Linked DNA regions of Coturnix japonica. The protein of the gene in region 4 purifies or fractionates together with the protein of the main gene of each other region. This does not show direct contact. Links are inferred from orthologs where the notes say so. Each region holds a gene or a part of one and is shown on either strand. Other genes may lie near its edges.

Evidence for each region.
Region 1: the proteins of EEF1A1 (region 4) and GAPDH fractionate together in Homo sapiens (co-fractionation; 3 studies listed by BioGRID). This does not show direct contact. The link is inferred for Coturnix japonica from reciprocal best matches to the Homo sapiens genes EEF1A1 and GAPDH.
Region 2: the proteins of EEF1A1 (region 4) and EEF2 fractionate together in Homo sapiens (co-fractionation; 3 studies listed by BioGRID). This does not show direct contact. The link is inferred for Coturnix japonica from reciprocal best matches to the Homo sapiens genes EEF1A1 and EEF2.
Region 3: the proteins of EEF1A1 (region 4) and EEF1B2 purify together in Homo sapiens (affinity purification with mass spectrometry; 3 studies listed by BioGRID and IntAct, counting the BioPlex papers as one, with this or other methods). This does not show direct contact. The link is inferred for Coturnix japonica from reciprocal best matches to the Homo sapiens genes EEF1A1 and EEF1B2.

The regions. Positions count from the first base shown.
Region 1 is NC_029516.1:69,303,321-69,308,821, reverse strand, and holds the start of GAPDH (glyceraldehyde-3-phosphate dehydrogenase), read right to left. Parts: upstream 3,511-5,501; 5' UTR 3,387-3,510; intron 3,015-3,386; 5' UTR 2,997-3,014; coding exon 2,974-2,996; intron 2,360-2,973; coding exon 2,260-2,359; intron 2,047-2,259; coding exon 1,940-2,046; intron 1,856-1,939; coding exon 1,765-1,855; intron 1,658-1,764; coding exon 1,542-1,657; intron 1,441-1,541; coding exon 1,359-1,440; intron 1,190-1,358; coding exon 1,038-1,189; intron 925-1,037; coding exon 846-924; intron 635-845; coding exon 551-634; intron 407-550; coding exon 309-406; intron 1-308. Other genes in the region: C-type natriuretic peptide 2-like, read right to left, coding at 5,026-5,286. UniProt on the Homo sapiens protein: Has both glyceraldehyde-3-phosphate dehydrogenase and nitrosylase activities, thereby playing a role in glycolysis and nuclear functions, respectively.
Region 2 is NC_029543.1:792,097-796,265, reverse strand, and holds the start of EEF2 (elongation factor 2), read right to left. Parts: upstream 2,801-4,169; 5' UTR 2,676-2,800; coding exon 2,673-2,675; intron 2,154-2,672; coding exon 1,939-2,153; intron 1,008-1,938; coding exon 826-1,007; intron 741-825; coding exon 529-740; intron 1-528. Other genes in the region: E3 SUMO-protein ligase PIAS4, read left to right, coding at 4,033-4,059. UniProt on the Homo sapiens protein: Catalyzes the GTP-dependent ribosomal translocation step during translation elongation.
Region 3 is NC_029522.1:11,931,973-11,935,981, reverse strand, and holds the end of EEF1B2 (elongation factor 1-beta), read right to left. Parts: intron 3,783-4,009; exon of another isoform or gene 3,649-3,782; intron 3,412-3,648; coding exon 3,286-3,411; intron 2,886-3,285; coding exon 2,731-2,885; 3' UTR 1,039-2,730; downstream 1-1,038. UniProt on the Homo sapiens protein: Catalytic subunit of the guanine nucleotide exchange factor (GEF) (eEF1B subcomplex) of the eukaryotic elongation factor 1 complex (eEF1).
Region 4 is NC_029518.1:74,352,022-74,357,384, reverse strand, and holds the start of EEF1A1 (elongation factor 1-alpha 1), read right to left. Parts: upstream 3,290-5,363; 5' UTR 3,161-3,289; intron 2,416-3,160; 5' UTR 2,369-2,415; coding exon 2,225-2,368; intron 1,210-2,224; coding exon 1,030-1,209; intron 901-1,029; coding exon 604-900; intron 340-603; coding exon 189-339; intron 47-188; coding exon 1-46. UniProt on the Homo sapiens protein: Translation elongation factor that catalyzes the GTP-dependent binding of aminoacyl-tRNA (aa-tRNA) to the A-site of ribosomes during the elongation phase of protein synthesis.

The DNA.
Region 1 (5,501 bases), on a different chromosome or scaffold from region 4:
TCCTCGTATCCCTCTTCATGTTACTGCTCTTCCAGCCTCAGCCCATATAACCAAGTGGCAAGGCTTCCCATCCAATCCTTATGAAGCAAACAGGCAGCATCCCATCTGCCCTCCATTACAGGAAGGCAGCTGCAGCCATTTCAGATACGAAGCCATCTCACTAGAGACCGTCACATGCTGAAGCCACCTGAACCCTGTGCTGCCATGCACTGCCAGATGGTGCTGACAAAATGAAACAGCACAGAACTGCACCAGAACTGCTCGTCTCTACCCTCCCAGTCTCCCCCACACCCCGAGGCTGAGCATACCAGGAAACAAGCTTGACGAAGTTGTCATTCAGTGCAATGCCAGCACCCGCATCAAAGGTGGAAGAATGGCTGTCACCATTGAAGTCACAGGAGACAACCTGGAACAGAGGAAGAACCGTCAAGCACTCTTCCACCCAATAAGATGGTAACAGCCTGAACCAGAAGCGTCAAAAACATCACCCCAGCAAGGCTGCCACCATCAGAACAATGAGGCAAGTGACACCTACGTAGCAACTATTTACCTGGTCCTCTGTGTATCCTAGGATGCCCTTCAAGGGCCCCTCAGCAGCAGCCTTCACTACCCTCTTGATGTCATCATATTTGGCCTAAAAAAAGGCAGAAGTAAAGATGGTCAGGTCAAATCTCATCTCTAAGTGTCAGCTACAGCCCAGACACTGGGAACTGCATAGCACTAGCCATGCACATTAGGTGCTATTTTCAGCAAAACCAAGATTTTTCTATTAAATAGATTGATGTTGAAGGAAGTAATTTTAGAGGCAGGCCTGAAGATTCTTCAGTCTTGTCCACAGCACTTACTGGTTTCTCCAGACGGCAGGTCAGGTCAACAACAGAGACATTGGGGGTTGGCACACGGAAAGCCATTCCAGTAAGCTTCCTGCAAGAGATATGTCAGCAAAGAACAGTGTAAGCATGTTCTACCACAAAAGTGTTTGAGCCAGCCACACACTGGCTCCTGCCCCCCATCAGACACAGAAAGAGGACGCTCACCCATTGAGCTCAGGGATGACCTTCCCCACAGCCTTAGCAGCCCCAGTGGATGCTGGGATGATGTTCTGGGCAGCACCTCTGCCATCCCTCCACAACTTCCCAGAGGGGCCGTCCACAGTCTTCTGTGTGGCTGTGATGGCGTGCACAGTGGTCTGTGGAAAGAAGGCCCAGAAGTAAGAAAGCAGTCACTTTCCCCAGAGAAAGCACCCCCAGCACTTCCTCCCAAGCCCAATGGAAGCACTGTGTGTGAATGCTTTTTTCCCCCACACATGGAGGACCTGGGGGCAGGGTATCTTACTGAGCATCAAGCTCCAGACCTACCATAAGACCCTCCACAATGCCAAAGTTGTCATGGATGACCTTGGCCAATGGTGCCAGACAGTTGGTGGTGCATGAAGCATTGCTGGGGGAGAAAGAAGGCACATCAGCCAAGTACAACACATGTATATACGTGCAACAAGACCCGAAGAAAATTCCAGGCCAGGGAGCATTCTTCTCCCTTACCTAACAATTTTCAGGGACTTATCATATTTCTCATGGTTGACACCCATCACGAACATGGGAGCATCAGCTGAGGGGGCTGAGATAATAACACGCTTAGCACCACCCTTCAGATGAGCCTGAAAAACAAAAAAGGAAAGATTAAATTACCCAGAACGGCCCAACAGTTGAGAAGGAATACAATCCTCAGAGCACCTTTTCCCATGGGCCACAGCAGCCTACATACCCCAGCCTTCTCCATGGTGGTGAAGACACCAGTGGACTCCACAACATACTCAGCACCAGCATCTCCCCACTTGATGTTGCTGGGGTCACGCCTGAGAGGGGACAAAACCATGGGAGTTACTCTGGAGGGCACTTACTTTCATTCTCTGGAGCAGCGAGAGAAGAAAGCTACTCACTCCTGGAAGATAGTGATGGCGTTCCCATTGATCACAAGTTTCCCGTTCTCAGCCTTGACAGTGCCCTTGAAGTGTCCGTGTGTAGAATCATATTTGAACATGTAAACCTAGCAGGGAGAGAAAAGAGAAGGGTCAGGCATCCTAGATGCAAAGCTCCCACTACAATACCAGCCATCTTGTCTAACTGCTGCTCTGTATTTTGCTCTGCCCAGCTTTGCATCACTACATCTCATTTCTCTCTTAACCTATGCCAGGTTTCCAAGGGGAGCCCCGCTGAAGGTGCACGCATCGCCCAGAGGGGGCACTGCAAGACAACTCACCATGTAGTTCAGATCGATGAAGGGATCATTGATAGCAACCACTTGGACTTTGCCAGAAAGGACAGCAGCCCTGGTGACCAGGCGGCCAATACGGCCAAATCTGGGGAGAAACAGAGAGGTGGGTGAGGAGGAGCACTGAGGAACATGCTTGGTAAGGCACGGCTGAGCCTATCTGCTACTTCCCCCCAGAGCATCTGTCAGTCGCTGCCTGAATGGAATCCAACAGCAGCGGCCAAAGGCCGAGGAGCCGTGGTTAAAGATTAAGAGCGACCCCCGGGCAGGGCACCCACACCACAAAGGTCAGGCGCTAAATTTACTGAGGGCCCCGGGGATCCGGTTACTCCTCGGTGCGGTGGGAGAAGGTCACGTTCCCGGGGCACGGCCGACACACGATCCACCGGGCGACCTTTCCTCGGGTACCCACTGCCCCGGGGAGCCCCATTAGTGCGGGCAGAGCCCCCGACGGGGCACGCGGGCAGCACCGGCGCTTCCGGGGTGACTCACCCCGACCGTGCGGGGAAGTGACTCAGCACCGCCCCACGGGGCCGTTACTCCCGGTTGGGGGTTGGAGGATGGGGGGGTCTCTCCGCGGCGCCGCGGGGCCCCCCGCCCTTCAGGCGACCTTGTCTCGTGTCGTCCTCCCCCCCCCCACGGGCACGTACATCCCCGCCCGCCCCGCCCGGCGCCTCCCGTCCCGGCTCCGCACTCACTCACCCGTTGACTCCGACTTTCACCATCTCTCCCTTATAGTGTACCTGCGGGGACACGCCAACGCTCAGACGTGCGGTACCGCACGCAGCCCGCCCGCCCCATAACACCCCCCCACCGCACGCACCGGGAGCCGCCCCCCCACCCGCCATCCCTCCCTCCCTCCATCCCCACCGAGCTGTGCCCCCCGCACCTCTCCCCCCACCCCCACCGCCTCCATCTTACGCCGCCCGCCCCCGCCTTTGTGCCCCGGGCACCACGCGGTCCTGCACAGCCCCCTCCCCCCGCCGCACTCCTCGCGGTCCGACGGCCCCGACCCTACGAGGGGCTCAAGCAGACGGGAGGGCGGCCGGCTGGGTGGGTGGGTGGGTAGGGGTGGGGGGAGCCGTTCCTCCGCCCCCGTGCCCCCCGCCCGTTACCTGCTCCTAGTCAACGGCCCCGGCGCGCAGTGAGAAGGTGGCGCAGTGCCGCTCCGCCGCCCTTTATAGACACGGCGGCAGCACCCCGCGCCCCGCCCCGCCGGGCCGGCACCGAATGGCAGCGCGAGGGCCGGGCCGGGGCTACGTGCACGCACGGTGCGGGTGAAGCGGCAGCCCCCCCCCCGCTTCTCTCCCCCTCCCCCCTCGCAACAAAGGGCGGCCGTTGGGTCGAGGGTGGGCTCGGGGGGTTGGGGCCGCACTGCGGGGCTTGTACGGAGTGGGGGTGCCCTTCGGATGGGGGGTGCAGACAAAGCCCCGCGTCGGTGTCCTCGGGTGAGGCTGCGGGGTGCGGCTGCAGCACGATGCGGTGCGGCGGGTGCGGGCTGCATTAATGGCAGCACGCACGGCCGAGAGAGCGCCGTGCTGCGAGCCCGCAGCCTGCCCGCTGCCATAATCAGCCCTCGCACGTGTTGGTCACGCAGCCCCGGGCTGCCGGGGTCCCGCACCCGCTGTCACACCGGCGCTCTCAGGCCGCGCTAATAAGGAACTGCAGCATCTCTTGCGCCGTGACAGCGGATATCCTCATATCCTCCCGCCGCCTCGAGCCGCCGCCGTCCCTCTCCCAGCCCGGCACGTCTGCGCCTGGCAGCCGGGCCCGGGGTGTGGGCAAGAAGCGGTTCTTACGTGTTACGGCTGGGGCTCGTGCGGCCCAAAGAGGGGCCGTGGGATGGAGCCGTGCTGGGTTTATAGCCTCCATCCCCTGCGATGGAGCGGGTGCTCGAAGCCGGATGCCCGGCGGGAGGAGGGGGCGTGCAGGGGTGAGGTGGGCCCCGGCTCCAGCGGTGGGGACGGAGGATGCCGGGGGGAGAGGGTCCGAGCGGGGGGTCACGCAGCTCCCGTAACCCAACGCTCCTTGTACGGCTGCCATTCCCGGAGCACCGAGGGGCAGCGGCTAAGTTTAGCCCCGGCTTGAGGTTACGACCTTTTCTTAAAGGCCAGGGGAGGCGGCGGTGCGGCCCGAAGGGGGCTGCGATCGCGGGGCCGGGGGAGCCCCCCGCACGTCGCGGGGTCAGGGCCGGCAGGGAGAGCGGAGGCCCCTTGTTTGCTCGGCAAACACGGCAGCGGCCGAGGGGCAGAGTGTGGCGGGACGGAACAACGCTGCGGCCCCGGGGCGCAGATCGATGGACCCGCCGCCCATCCTCCCCCCAGCGCCGGGCTCGGGCCCAGGCCGCGGACGCGCGTGCGGCCCGGCCCACCCGGAATGGCGGCGGCGCCCAAAATGGCCCCGCGCGTGGGGGCCGCGTTGCCGTGCGGAGCCGCGGGCTCTGCCGCCATCTCCCGGCGGACGCGGGCGGGGAGAGGCACGGGGAGGGTATCGCGGCCCGGCCGCCCTTCGGTGCCGCCAGCTCCGACACGAGGCTCCGCACAGCTCGGTTTAATTCGCGAGTCCCCCGCGCGCCGCCGCTCCTCGCCCTGCCCGCGGGGCTGCGGCCGCTGCTGCCCCAGCCTGTCCCGTCCCGAGCTGGGTCTCGTCCCGGGCCGGCTCTCCACACGGCCGCTCTCTGCCTGCCAACGAGCGAGCCGCTGCCCGCTGTGCCGGCCCCTCGCTGCTGCCCCCTTCACCTCCAGCTTCTCCGGGCTAACAGCCCAACCCGCTGAAGGCCCCGATGCGGTCCATTTTCAGCCCAAAACAGCCCCGGGGCGCGGCCTTCCAGGCCCAGTCTCCAGACAGAGCTCGCTTGCGATCGGCGAGGGCCTTGCGCCACAGCAGGGGCTGTGCGGCTCGGGCCCGAGGCAGGAGGAGCGGCTGCGGCTCGGAGCTGGAGCTGGAGCCCTCCTTCATGTCCTCATCAGCCGGCAGGGATTCGGAATCCGAGGGCAGCAGGCGGGAAAGGAGCACCTGAGAGAGGGATAAATGGAGATGGGCGAGGGTGTAATGTCTGTGCTCTTATATCCCGACCCACTGTCCCACTCTTCGTCCCTCAGGCTCGGGCAGGACGTGAAATGGTGCCTGTGAAAGCCCTCTGCCTGTGACCTTGCATCCACACCAAGGACACCGATGGCCCGCAGCTACTCTGCCTGAGGTGATTTTGCTGCCCAAAGAACAGGAAGGAG
Region 2 (4,169 bases), on a different chromosome or scaffold from region 4:
GCCCAGGCAAACCAAACACACTGCAAGCCTCCACCAAGAGCCTGAAGGTGGGGCTTCAGAGCTACAGAAGCACTGAGCACTTCTGTGACAGCACCTGCCCAGAGGGACTGACTGGCTCAACATCTGCTTAGACCTGTCAGACTGTAATCCTTAATGGAAACACCAGTAGAAAAATCTACGATTCGTTTGTTTCTCAACAGCAACAAAGCACAAAGGTTTCCTCAGGACCTGCAGCTGAACAGGCCTTGCACTCAGCTCAGAGTCCAGCAGGGAGTGAAGGGATCAACATCCCCAAGTGCCATCCAGCCTCATGCAGTGCAGGGCCTGTGCCCCGTGTCAGGTGAGCAAGGAAAGACCTTTCAAGAGGAGGACCCCTTCCTAGACAGAATGCACACTTGTGTTTCTATTCTTCATTGCATGGGTGCCTCCACTTCTCCAGCCTCACTCCTCCCCTGGAGGGAGGAAAGCACTGCTACCAAACACAGTTGCTCCCTCCTGCTGAAGGGGCACCCACAGCCATTCACTCACCATGATGTTTCCCATTGGACCGCTTTCTCCTTCCCCATACGTGGAGATGATGACGTTCACGTTCTCCACAATCCTCTGGAAGGTCTGGTACAGCTCCTCAGGATCCAGCTGCAGCTCCAGCAGTGCCCGGTCCATCTTGTTCATCATCAGGACAGGTTTGATCCTCTCAGCGATGGCCTGACGCAGCACAGTCTCTGTCTGCACACACACACCTGCCCAACACAGGACAATTAGTTCTCCTCACCTTCAGATCAACCCAACTCAGGTTGCAGTCACACATGGCTGCAAAAACCTCACCAGAGACGCAGTCGACAACAACCAGGGCACCATCAGTGACACGCAGAGCAGCAGTGACCTCCGAGGAGAAATCCACGTGCCCAGGAGAGTCAATCAGGTTGATCAAGAAACCAGAACCATCCTTGCTCTGCTTGATGAATGCCAGATCGTTGTCAGAGAGCTCATAGAACAGAGAAATAGCTCTGAAAGGGAAAAAGAGCTGTTAGTATCACCCCATTGCCCCTCTGCAACACTCTGAAGCAAAAGCAGTTAGAAACATTCTTGTATCCTTTACTATTTATTTTCAGACAGCTGCATCCAGCTTCCAGGGTTTCATGAACCACTGAATGGCCTGGGTTGAAAAGGACCCCAATGCTCATCCAGTTCCAACCCTCTGCTGTGTGTAGGGTCCCAGGCTGCCCACAGCCACATCCAGCCTGGCCCTGAATGCCTGCAGGGATGGGGCATCCACAGCCTCCTCGGGCAACCTGTTCCAGTGCATCACCCCCCACTGGGTGAAAAACATCCTCCTAAGATCCAACCTAAACCTCCCATAACAGGAAGAAATGATCATGAGAGGCGAGTGGGGAAGATGCTCAGGAGCATCCACAAAAACCTCTGCTTTTTATGCTTCCCTGAAATCATAACCCCCTGATATCGTGAGCTGCCAAATAGAGCGCACCTCCTCTCAGCTGCTTTTCCCACCAGCCTAAATCCCTTCTGGTCCCTCCCACCTCCTCAGCATCAGTCCATGGTGAGGCAGCTGGACCTGCAGGCAGTGACACTCCCAAGGAGGTCAGCTGCTCACCAGACAAACCTCACAGCCACCAGCGCCATTACACACAGCTGGTGCCAGAAACAGGAGGCCAAAGTCACACTGCAGGAGCACGTCAATCTCCCAGCAGCCATCAAGGTAACGCTCAGTGACTCACCACAGGGCAATCAATACTTGCCCCTTTGTTTAAGCAATCCACGCAGGGAAGAAAAATAAACCTAAACCTCTGAACAACAAGACAAGAGAAAGGCTGATGGGATCATCTTCATCTCAAGGTGAAACCAGGGTAGGATTCAAAGCACCCCCAGGGTCAGTCCGTGCGATGGGAACAGGGGGGCACCCGAAGGAGCAGCACTCACGTCGATTTGATGGTGATGCACCGTTCCTGCTCGTCCTTCCTGGTGTCAGTGAAGCGGGTCTCCCCCGCGCGGGCAGAGGCGATGATCCCAGCTTTACACACCAGGGAATCAGTCAGGGTCGACTTGCCGTGATCGACGTGTGCGATCACTGACATATTCCTGATGTTGGCCTTTTTGTCCATGATGGCCCGTATCTGATCTACCGTGAAGTTCACCTTGGAAAGAAAGGAAGAAGGGAGGAATGGGAGACGAGCTACGTAACAGCAAAGCTCCATTTCTTCCTACGTGGCGCTGTCAGGTTTAACCTCAAGGAATGAAGCACTGAGGGCACTGCAGAGCGCCGGGCCGGCACTGCAGCAGCCAGCGATGTGTCCTCAAACCCCCCCGCACTGACAGCGCTCAATGCACCGCAGCCCCCCCTCCATCCTCACCCCTCATTAATTAAAGGGGGAAACCGAGGAGCCGCAGCGTTACGTAATCGCTCCGGGAGCTGCCCGGCCCCCATCACAGCACCGGGAATTAAAGCCCTACGGGATACACGGAGCGCCGGGTTAACGGCGCCCCACCAGGCCCCGGCCCCACCCGTGTCCCCTCACAGCGGCCCGGGACGCAGCGCTAGGCCTCGCCCCGCAGCGGGACCCTCCCGGCCCTCCCGGAGCGGACATCCCCACCCGCACAGCCCACACGGGACCCGCTGAGCTCCATCCGAACGGCGGCGGGACGCGGGGCCTCACCATGGTGGCGGATGGAGGCGGATTCTCCGGGGCGGGGGGTTACAGCAATGGCGGCGGTGGCGGCGGCCCTGTCTCGCTGGCGAGCGCAGAGCGGGCGGAAGAGAACGCTGACGTCAACCGCCCCCCTTTTATAGGGCGGCGCCGGCCGGAAGGAGGAGCCTACGCGTGCGCGTGCGCAGATGCGACTATCTAGCACCCCCCGCTGCCGGCAGCTCTATGGTCGGGCGGTCAGGTCCTCCGAGGGCCGCAGTCAGGATCCACGCGGTCCCCGCTCAGAACCCGCAGCGGAAACAACGCGGTCACAGCGGGTACAACCCGGACAACGTGCCCGGGGCGCTGCTCAAGGCCTCGAGAGCGGCTCCGCCTTTACCCGGAGCGCTGGGCCGTCCAAAGCGGCACCGGGCCGGGCTGGGCGAGCACCGCCCATAGCGGCGTCTATGGACTAGGTGCGCATGCACCGGCCGGAACTGCGGAGGGCATGGAGCTCACTAGCGCCCCCTGCAGGCCGGGAGGAGCGGGGGTGGGCAGGGGGCTGCAATGGAGGCACGGGATGGAAGTAGTGTGATGTCTGTGTTATGGAGCGCAAATATCAGCTCGAAAACTGGAGGTCTTCTATTGAGACATCAATAGATTCCTCTATCTATAGAGCCCTCTGATCCCTCTATCAATAGATGGGTTTTGAGTGATGTTTTCTAGTTGATGAGCCTCACTGCAACTTAGGGACACGCTGCTGGCCCCATTGTGTTATTGTTATTATTAGGATTAGGACCCCATTATTATTGTTATTAGGATTGTATTCAGAGAGACTGACAACACAGCACCCAACCTGACACCCCAGCCATACGTAAGGAACTCAGGACACTGGTAAGCCAGTCCGAGCACACTGTCTGTGATGTCAATTAGGCTGAAAGGCAGCCAGGCAGGTATCCCCATCACCGGCTCCCATAGGCTAAATACATTACAAATATCACCATGCTCAGAAGCTGGGACTATAAGCACATATAGGCATATAATGACCCTCAGTCCTAACCCGTCCCCTTCCCTCTCCCCGTACCCATGTAAGGCAGCCCACAGGTAAAGAAAAGAAAGCAGGAGAGCTGTCATTAGCTCTGCTGTCCTCCCTCCATCCCCGCATCCTCCATCCTCTCCGTCCCGTTTTAGGGGCGCGGTCCCTTTAAGACCCCCGGAAGGCGGAGCGGGGCGGGGTGGCTCTATTGCGCCTGCGCGTTGCGGCGGCGGCCTCCGAGGTGAGGAACTCGAAATTGATTGGTCGACGCGTCTCCCGCGCGCCCCTCCCCTCGCCGCTAGGCGTCACGTGACCCGGCGGCGGCTCCCGGCGCGGTGGACGCTGGAGGCCAAGATGGCGGCGGAGCTGGTGGAGGCCAAAGTGAGTGAACGGCGGCGGCGGAGGCGGCTCGGAGAGACCGGGCCGGGCGGGAGCGGGATGAGGGCTCAGCTGCCGCCCCTCACAGCGCGGAACCGGCGGCGGGCGGGGCG
Region 3 (4,009 bases), on a different chromosome or scaffold from region 4:
TGAAGTGCAAACAAAGGACTCCGGTTACTGATGCCTGATTGTGACTCTGTTGGAAACAAAAAAACAAAGCCAATATTTCCTACTCATGCAGCCCCTTAAAGCTGTCTGCAAATGCTATTGCCTCTCAAGGATTTTCTTTCCAGTCCTCCCCTTGACTGTTAGAAGTGCAACTTCATAATTAACAGCTTAATGCACTGGTCACAGTTTCTGGCAGGTCAAAGAAAAGAGAAGCCATGCTTGCCTCAAGTTACCCATCTCCTCTCTGTCTAGAAAGCAAAGTTTCCTGACAGCTACAGATGAATTACAAACAGTGCTTTTAACTGCTTCCAGACTCTTGTTTCTGTAAAGGTAACACGTTATTGGGCACAGACTGTGTGAGGCTGCGCTATGTATGTTCATTTAAGAATGTTCATTTCAGAATGTAACACAATCTGCCAAGACCTACCTGTTAGTTGAGGGAAAAGAGTTACACGTATACAAGTGGTGCATCCACAGGGGTCAGCCTTGTGGGTTGGCACTGGTGCAGGAGTCCTGGCAGCTTTCAGAAGGGGTGAACACAAATAGTCACCTTGTGTCATAAAAACAAAAGGTCAAGCCTACTATAAAGTTAAGATGCATAATGGATTGGAATAACATACACTTACCCTAGTTACTTCATGGACAAATAACTCTGAAATAATTTGTAGCAGTGTATATCTTTAAACTATTTGGAAGGGAGGGGGAGGTTCCTTATAGTATAAGTATATTTCACTCCAGCCCACTATATATATAAAAAAAATGTTCCTTGACATCTTTCTAAGAATGATGTGTTTTAATGCTTCCTTTCCTGACTGTGCTCCAAGTGGAGTAATAAATTTCTATTAGCCCTGAAGAACACATTCATTTACTTTTCTCAGCAGCAACTAAGCTGTGACTGTTCACAGAACAGCACCATACTGACGTTCCTGAAAGATGAAAGAAAACCCTGACCTTTGTGTCACAGGAATTAAAGTTTATTCAGTTTTCTTCATGCACATTAGGTATATGAGGACAAATACACACAGTAACGAGCTTTATTTTCAAAGAAGAAGATTTTACATTTGCTTTGTCTTGTGTACATCGTCAGAAAATGCTCTACAAAGCTTTGCTTGGATTACCCCTCTGGATTAAAAAAAGCAACAAAACACTGCCAACATTTAACCACCACCTTAACCAAAAGCCTCCCCTAGATAATAAAGAATCTGGCCAACATCAGTCCTGGTCTGTGGAAAAAAATGGCCTACCAACTTTGTAAGGTGATTGCTACCTCCTTCATACCAACATCAGCAACATAGTTGCCACCATCCAACTCATTTCTGCAAGTGGAATGAAGATACCTAATCAGAACAGACAGCATCCTTGGTTTCCATTTCCATAGAATAACTGAAAAAGCCCAATTACTCTCCTACACTGCTTGGACAGAAGAATGCTCATTCAAAGCTCTACGATGAAAAAAAGGCACTCTGATTTTCCTATGAGATACTGCTGAGAAAAAAACCAACAAAATTCAACTGCAGCAGATTCTGTTCTTCCCTGCTTCATAATGCTTGTTCTTGTTCAGATTGCACTCAAGTGTTTCTGACAGTCTCCTTAAAACCCTGTTGCTTTAACAATAGAGTGGCAACTGGCAGCCCTTCTCAAAAAGAGGCACAACAAGATCAATAGTAGGTTTGAGATCTTTATAGTCATGTAGGAGCATGGGAAGACTATATTTAAGATCTCAAACCTACTATTGGTCTTGTTACAGGTTACATACACTCTAAGATACACGGTGACACTGTAGCAAGCTGTATTTTAACAGAGTAACAAAGTACTATCCGCCTGCATTAACTGTAGCCACTGCGCCCCATTAAACCTCACTCAAGCACATGGCACCGTTAGACCTCCAATGCCTCGGTCTTCTTGAAGGAACACACCGCCCTCTAGTGAACTGTACCTTAATTGCACCTCAAGGATCTCGATCCTGCTACTCAAGGTTAAAAACCAATGCTGGCCTGCAGTTCAAGGCACACCAAGGCCTTGGTCTTGAAGCAGGAATTATGCAGTACTGAGTAAGACACGTCCCTCCTCTCCCCCCCACACACACACAAAAAAAGCCAAACTTGAGGTTATTTCTATTTTTTAAACACTTTAGGAGAAAAAAAATCTCAGGTTCACACAATAGGAGATGGTGAGAAGTTACCCTGGCAGTCTCAGTCACATTAAGTACACTTCACAATCTCCAATGCTCTGCAGTCCTCATTGCTATAAACTGCCTTATCTTTGTCTTCATTCCTAAGTGACAGTTGAACTGCAGCTGTCAGAAGAATAAAGCCACCATACAACTATTTGGTTACTCATCATCCTTTCTATACAAAACTTCTATTTCTCTTAAAGTGCTACAGCCCTGTGCTTCTCCCTGAAAGCCACCTCTCCTGCCAGATTAATTACAAGTAGCCAAAGATGCAACTCCACTTAAAATAGAGGAAAAGGCATTTCAGATATTTAAAGCCATGTAAATGTTAAGCCTAGACATATGGCAACTGTCAGCTCTCTCTTTGCTCTGGCACTAAATACCACAGCGCTGGAACAATCCTAAAAGCCAATTGATTAGCTTTTACTTTACCCATCAGTCAAATTTTACATTAACAAACTGGATTGCACTATGACTTTGAATTAATGACAGACATGGCCCAATTTTTGCAATTATTTTTATTCTAAATATATGAAGACTCAGATCTTGTTGAAAGCAGCTACATCCATTGATTGTACGTAATCTTCAAAAGCTGTTATTCTTTCTTCCAACATGTCTGTTCCAACTTTATCATCTTCAACAACACACTGAATCTGAAGCTTTTTGATACCGTAACCAACTGGTACTAGCTTGGCTGCAAAACAAAACAAAAAAGCATTACACACTCCTCACTTGAAAATGGAAAGATGTAAGCAGCTGATAGCATTAATGGAGTTGGCCTAAAAGGTGTTTCTTTGAATCTTAGCCTTGCTGCTGCCCTAGCAGCTTTCTGACTAAGCCCTTTTTAAATCATCACTCTTGTGAAATTATGCAAAGAACACCTATCAGTTTGCTATTTAGTGGGTGCTAGTCCACCAAACACCACACACGCACAGCTCACACTATACATACTCTATGTAACATGGCAGTTAACTCACTATTTTAGCTACCTACATTATCACAGATGGACAAACAGTAATCCTAAGGCTACTTATTCATACAGCACCCCAACAGATCACGTGATCACCCTTTTCCCCACTTAGAATTTTACTTACAAGACCCCCAGACCAAGCCATCTGCTTGAATGCTTCGAACACACTCCTCTAATTTGGCCATGTCTGTCTCATCATCCCAAGGTTTCACATCAAGCAAGATCGATGATTTGGCAACAACAGCTGGTTCTAAGGGAAAAAAAAGGAGGAAAGACACCATTAACAGCTAGGAAACTTTCAGGAACTCAAGAATATACTTACAAATAACTTCACACGACTTAAAAAAAAAAAAAACAAAAAAACCCCTCATAACTCAGTCCTCTTGTACCAACATGCATTTTTAAGGGGTCTGAAAATATATATCCTGATGTTTAAGATGTAGATGCCTGTTTTTGAAAAACACTTTGAAAAGAGAACATAAGCTAACATTGTTTGTTACGTAGAAAGTCCTTCTTAGAGGATCTGAGAAGGTGCTTAATACTACGTAACAGTTTGTCTTCCACAGAGGGAATACTGCAACTGCTACAGTCCTGAACAGTTTCAGGCCAGTAACTGTGGAGGGACCTGCATGCAAGAGCCTTTCCTCTCTTAACTCACCAACTACTGATCGGCCTCCTTAGGTCAGTCTGCTGGAGTTCTTACACAGATGTGTTTTATACTACTTTGCATCTGTTTTATTTCAAGAAAACCCTAGGGTTCTCTTTTTGTAGTGAAAAAGCTTGCTCCTTTGGTAAGACAAAAGGAGAATAGGCAGGACAAAAAGCATGCTAATGTTCAATGATTTGCT
Region 4 (5,363 bases):
TTCAGGACACCAGTTTCCACACGGCCAACTGGTACAGTACCAATGCCTACAGAAGTGAACACAGAAAGCCAGTTAAGTCCAGTATATGCTTACAGAGAAAAACATTTCAGGCAGGAGTTTCACACTCAAGTTCCCAAGCAAACACTAGCAATTCTGTCCCATACACAAGCACTGTGGTGAACACATACCACCAATTTTGTAGACATCTTGAAGAGGCAGACGCAGAGGTTTGTCAGTTGGACGAGTTGGAGGCAGGATGCAGTCCAAGGCTTCCAGGAGGGTGGTTCCACTGGCATTGCCGTCTTTGCGGGTAACCTTCCATCCCTTGAACCAGGGCATCTGTAACAAAACAGCCCCCAACCGTCAGTCATCTGCCCATGTTAATAGAACGAAGCTATGAAACAACTGGCCTAACTCCTTGCATCATCTTCATTACTGCAGAATAACAATTCATAAAGCACTAGGATTTCACACTGACCCCAACATTTCAAAATACTACTACTGAAAAAACCCAAACCCACGTATTTAACTATTGTTTAACTTATCTTAATGATCCTGCTAGTTCCATTTCCTAATATTAAAAAGGAAAACAGGGAAACCTACGTTAGAGCTGGGCTCCAGCATGTTGTCCCCGTTCCAACCAGAGATTGGCACAAAAGCTACAGTGTCTGGGTTGTAGCCAATTTTCTTGATGTAAGTGCTGACTTCCTTGACGATCTCTTCGTATCTCTTCTGGCTGTAAGCGGGCTCAGTGGAATCCATCTTGTTAACACCAACGATCAGCTGTTTCACACCCAGGGTGTAGGCCAGAAGAGCGTGCTCGCGGGTCTGCCCGTTCTTGGAAATACCGGCCTCGAACTCACCAACACCAGCAGCAACAATCAGGACAGCACAATCAGCCTTTGAAAAGGTAGAAAAAAGCCCTTGTTAGAAAGCCTACACGCACACTAAAGCACATGGGCAATTTCCCTGCTGTAAACCAGCCAAGGAGCAGCTTCCCTCAACTCCCCACATCCTTTATTTCCTTACCTGAGAAGTTCCAGTGATCATGTTCTTAATGAAGTCTCTGTGTCCAGGAGCGTCGATGATGGTGACGTAGTACTTGCTTGTTTCAAATTTCCACAGGGAAATATCAATAGTGATACCACGCTCACGCTCAGCCTTGAGCTTGTCCAAGACCCAGGCGTATTTGAAGGAACCTTTGCCCATCTATGGGTTTGAAACAGGAAAAAAAAACCCCTCAAGATATATATTTTCATTTACCTCACCAAGACCATGAAATACACACTAACGAGCAAAGTTATTAATAGGGAGTGACTTACACTGAAAGCTGCTGTTGCTCATAAAACTCTGGCCTAGGTTCACTTGGCACTACTACCAAGATATGCCAACTGCTCTGTCATTTAACCTGCTGACACTTCAGCCCTCTTGACAACTTGTTAATTGTGCTAACACATCTTTATGATGGATCTCTTAAGGCTTAGTCCTACTATCAAGTGTCCACTACAAATTTTAGCTTAGTTACTAATGCCATCCCTGCTCCAGTTGGTATTTTAACAGCCACACAGCCCAGCATTCACTGCATTTCCTTTTATCATGTGCTTACGAGGTGCTATTTTATCACTAAAACAAAACAAAGGAAAACTGGAATACTTCCACAGGTTCACATAATGGTACCTTAGACTCTCCCACCTTGAGACAAGGCTGATCATTACATTTTCAACTAAACTACAAGATGACATGAGACAACAGTCTAAAGCTGTGCCAGGGGAGGTCCAGATTGGATATTAGGAGTAATTCCTACTCCATAAGAGCAGCAATGCATTGAAACAGGCTGTGCACAGAGATGGTGGAGTCACTACCCTTGAAGTGTCCAAGAAACCTGCTGACGTGGCACTGAGGGACATGGTTAGTGGCCATGGTGGGGATGGGCTGATAGTTGGAGTTTCAAGGTCTTCTCCAACATTAACGATTCTGTAATTCTCAATCCAGGCCGAGAATGAAGATGGGAGCTCCCATTTTGATTCTAAGCGTTCAGATTTAGCTTCATGCTCTTTATTCTATGCTTCGATGACTTCACCTTAACATAACAGATTGAGTACTCTAGTTCAATTACCAGGACAATCTCGACCCAACCGCCTCCTTGTGGTAGTAAAACGTTCTGGTTTCCTTCCTTTTGCCCCTTATTCCCCCCAGTCTCCCACCACACGGCTGCCTCACACACCTCGGCCGCCTCCTTCTCGAACTTCTCGATGGTCCTCTTGTCGATGCCACCACATTTGTAGATGAGGTGCCCGGTGGTGGTGGACTTGCCGGAATCGACGTGGCCGATGACGACGATGTTAATGTGAGTCTTCTCCTTTCCCATTTCGGATGGTCTTTAGCTTCTTTCTTCCGGCCAAAGAGAAACGACACCTGAAAGTTCCAGAAGGAATCCCGGTTACAGCGGCCGCCCCCGTCCCGCAGCAGCGCCGCCCGCAGGGGGCAGAGGGCCCGTGTAGGCTCGGCCCCGCCCCACCGGGGGATGGGAGGGGGGAGTCGAGCAGCGGGGAGAGGCGGGCGGTGTTGGCGGCCCGTGTCCCCTCCGGCTCGCCCCCCTCCTCCGTCGCCCCCTCCCCGCATGGCGGCCGGGCCGGGCCGTGCTGGGGCGGCGGCGCGGGGCGGCGCGGAGGGCGGGGCCGCCCCTCTCCTTTGTGTGTGACTCACCCCGCCCGGGCCGCCGTCCTCCATTTTGTGAGCTGACGGCGGCAGGAAGAGCGGGCGGCCATTTTTTTTCTCGTGCCCCGGCCTTCCCTTCCCCCATCGCCCACACCGACGGCGCGGCCCCGCCATCCCCGGCCGCCACCCGCGTACGGCCGAGCACCGCACGCCGCACAGCAGCGCCAGGCGGCTCCGCAAGAAGCCGAAGCGGCGGTGCGGCCCCATGTGCTCATCGCGGCGCTGCCTCGCGTGAGCCCTCGGATGGGACACGTCGGCGTTACGCCGCCGCTCGCCCCGCTTCCCCCATCCGCCCCTTATCTCGCCATCCCCCCGCTCCGCCATCCCCACGCACCGCTGCACGGCGGCGCCTCAACCCCCCGCTCACGGTACATCCACGCACCCCCAGCATCCCCGCTCCCCCCACCCCCGGGCCCGGCCCGCCCCGCCGCACGCTCCTCACCCGCACGGCGTCGGCAAACCCGGAGCGGAAAAGAACGACGGCGTGAGCGCCGCCCCTTATATACCCTGCCACGGGGCGGGGCCTCGGCGCCGCGTCACGGCTCCCGGCGGGCCCAGCGCTAAGCCCCGCGCTAAGCCCCGCCCGGCAGCGCCGCACGCCGTGCTCCCCTGGGGGCGGCGGGGAGGGGCGGGGTGCGGATCCCAGCCCCGGGGGAGCCGGGCCGAGTGGCGGCCGGTCGGGACTCGCTGCCCCAATGCTGAACGGCATCGCCTGGAGCGCGGCCAGCCGGGATGGAGGTGCCGCTCCGCCGCCTCCCCCTCGGCACGGCAGCCATAGAGTCGCCGAGCTCCGCCTCAGGCCCGAGACTGCGGCCCGAGGGGACGCGGACAGCGAGCTGCGGGGTGGGAACTTGCAGACTAGCAGAGATCCCCGGTGGCCTCGCGTTTCACACAGGGCCAAGGAGATTCGCTTCAGCATCAATTCGGGGCTTCTGCTTGAGAGCTCCAAACTGCCCCGAGTGCCCCCATGCCGTACATTCCCGGCTGACAGGTGCCCCATGAGAGTCACCAAAGGTGCTGGCAGCCCCAGCCTTTGGCTTCTGAAACGGGGGCACCAGCACTGAAAGCCCTCGTGATTCCAGCAGGGTGTACTCGTGTAAAACACCTGTATGGCTTTCTAGTGGGAAATTAACCCCAGAAGGGAAACAAATACTTTATTCCTTTAATCACAGAACGACCTGGTTTGGAAGGGACCTCAAGGATCACCCCCTGCCTGGCAGGGCCACCAAACATACACATTTACTAGATCAGGTTGCCCAGGGCCCCATCCATCCTGGCCTTGAACACCTCCAAGGACGGGGCATCCACAACCTCCCTGGGCAGTCTGGGTTAAAAGGATCTGTTTTCTTCTTCTAAGAGAATGTAATGCACCCATGTTACAGTTACTTACGTGTACTCAACTGTAATCCCATTCAATTGTTGGCAGGGGCTCCACAGAACATGCTGAGTTGGAAGGCAGCCCCAGGGATCACCGCGTCCCACTCCTGGCTCCACACGTCTGAGAGCAGCATCCAAATGCTCCTTGAACTCCAGCACCGCGGGCCATACCCACCAATATATAACTATAGCTCACATCTAGGTGTTAAATCACTGAAGGCATTTGCTATGAAGGCAGAGTACCAGCATCTTCATTAAGTGACTTTTCATGGCTCAGGCTGAGGAGTAAGGGTCAATAACTAGTAAGAAAGCTGAGCACACCACATCTGTAAAACCAAGGCTGTAAACATGTCCACGAAGCTTTATTCTACAGGATGGTTTCTAGTTTAGCTTCTGCAATGCCTGTCAGTGGGGGTGTTTTTAGATGGATAAGTTTGTCCAAGTATCTGTTCTGCTAAAGCATAGTTGAAAACATTCAGCCACTTGCACCTCAGCAGGGGGAGGAGAAAGGAAATGTGTTACTGATTTCTTACGCGGCCCATAAGAAACTGCACAGTTATGGGATGTATTTAAAAGGCTTCCATAAATAAAGGCATATGGAAGCATGCATTTCTTAGGACAGCAGTTTCGTTGGTATATTCACAGCTGAAAGCCTGCCGAGTTGTTGGATAACCTTCTAACCATGCCCTAGTTAAGTCTTCAGCAGTCGTTCCTTTCCCCGTGCTTCTTTAATTGGATTTTCAAAGGAGTTTTTACCATTTCCTCTACAATCAAATAGATGCTTTTATTCTCTCGATAACTGGCGCATCTTTCCTCCATTCTATTAGCAGAACATTCCTATTATCAATCCTGTAAATATTTATACAGCTGGGGACCTTCAGATATGTGAGTATCCTCACATTGTTCGGTGCGAATGCCTTCTGAACTATCCTCTCAGCTAACACAGGCCAAAAGCCCGTATGCAAATAACCTCGAAGGAATTAAAAATGTTGCTAATATGGCAAAACGAATCTCTTTGATATGAAAAGCTGATGAAGCAGCAGATATAAGATCTCCAGAATGCCCCATCATTCAGGCTTTGAAGCAGTGCTTATTAAACCCAGCAGAAATAGGTGGGTTACACACCTGAAGTGCAAGAATCCATAAATACAAGTATTCTCTACAGCATTTGTAGAAGCCTATGCAGTAACTACCACTTTTTCTTTAAAGGCTTTGAATCTCAGATCAGATGATATGAAAATGAAGTCATGCTGTCAGTATATCTAGGC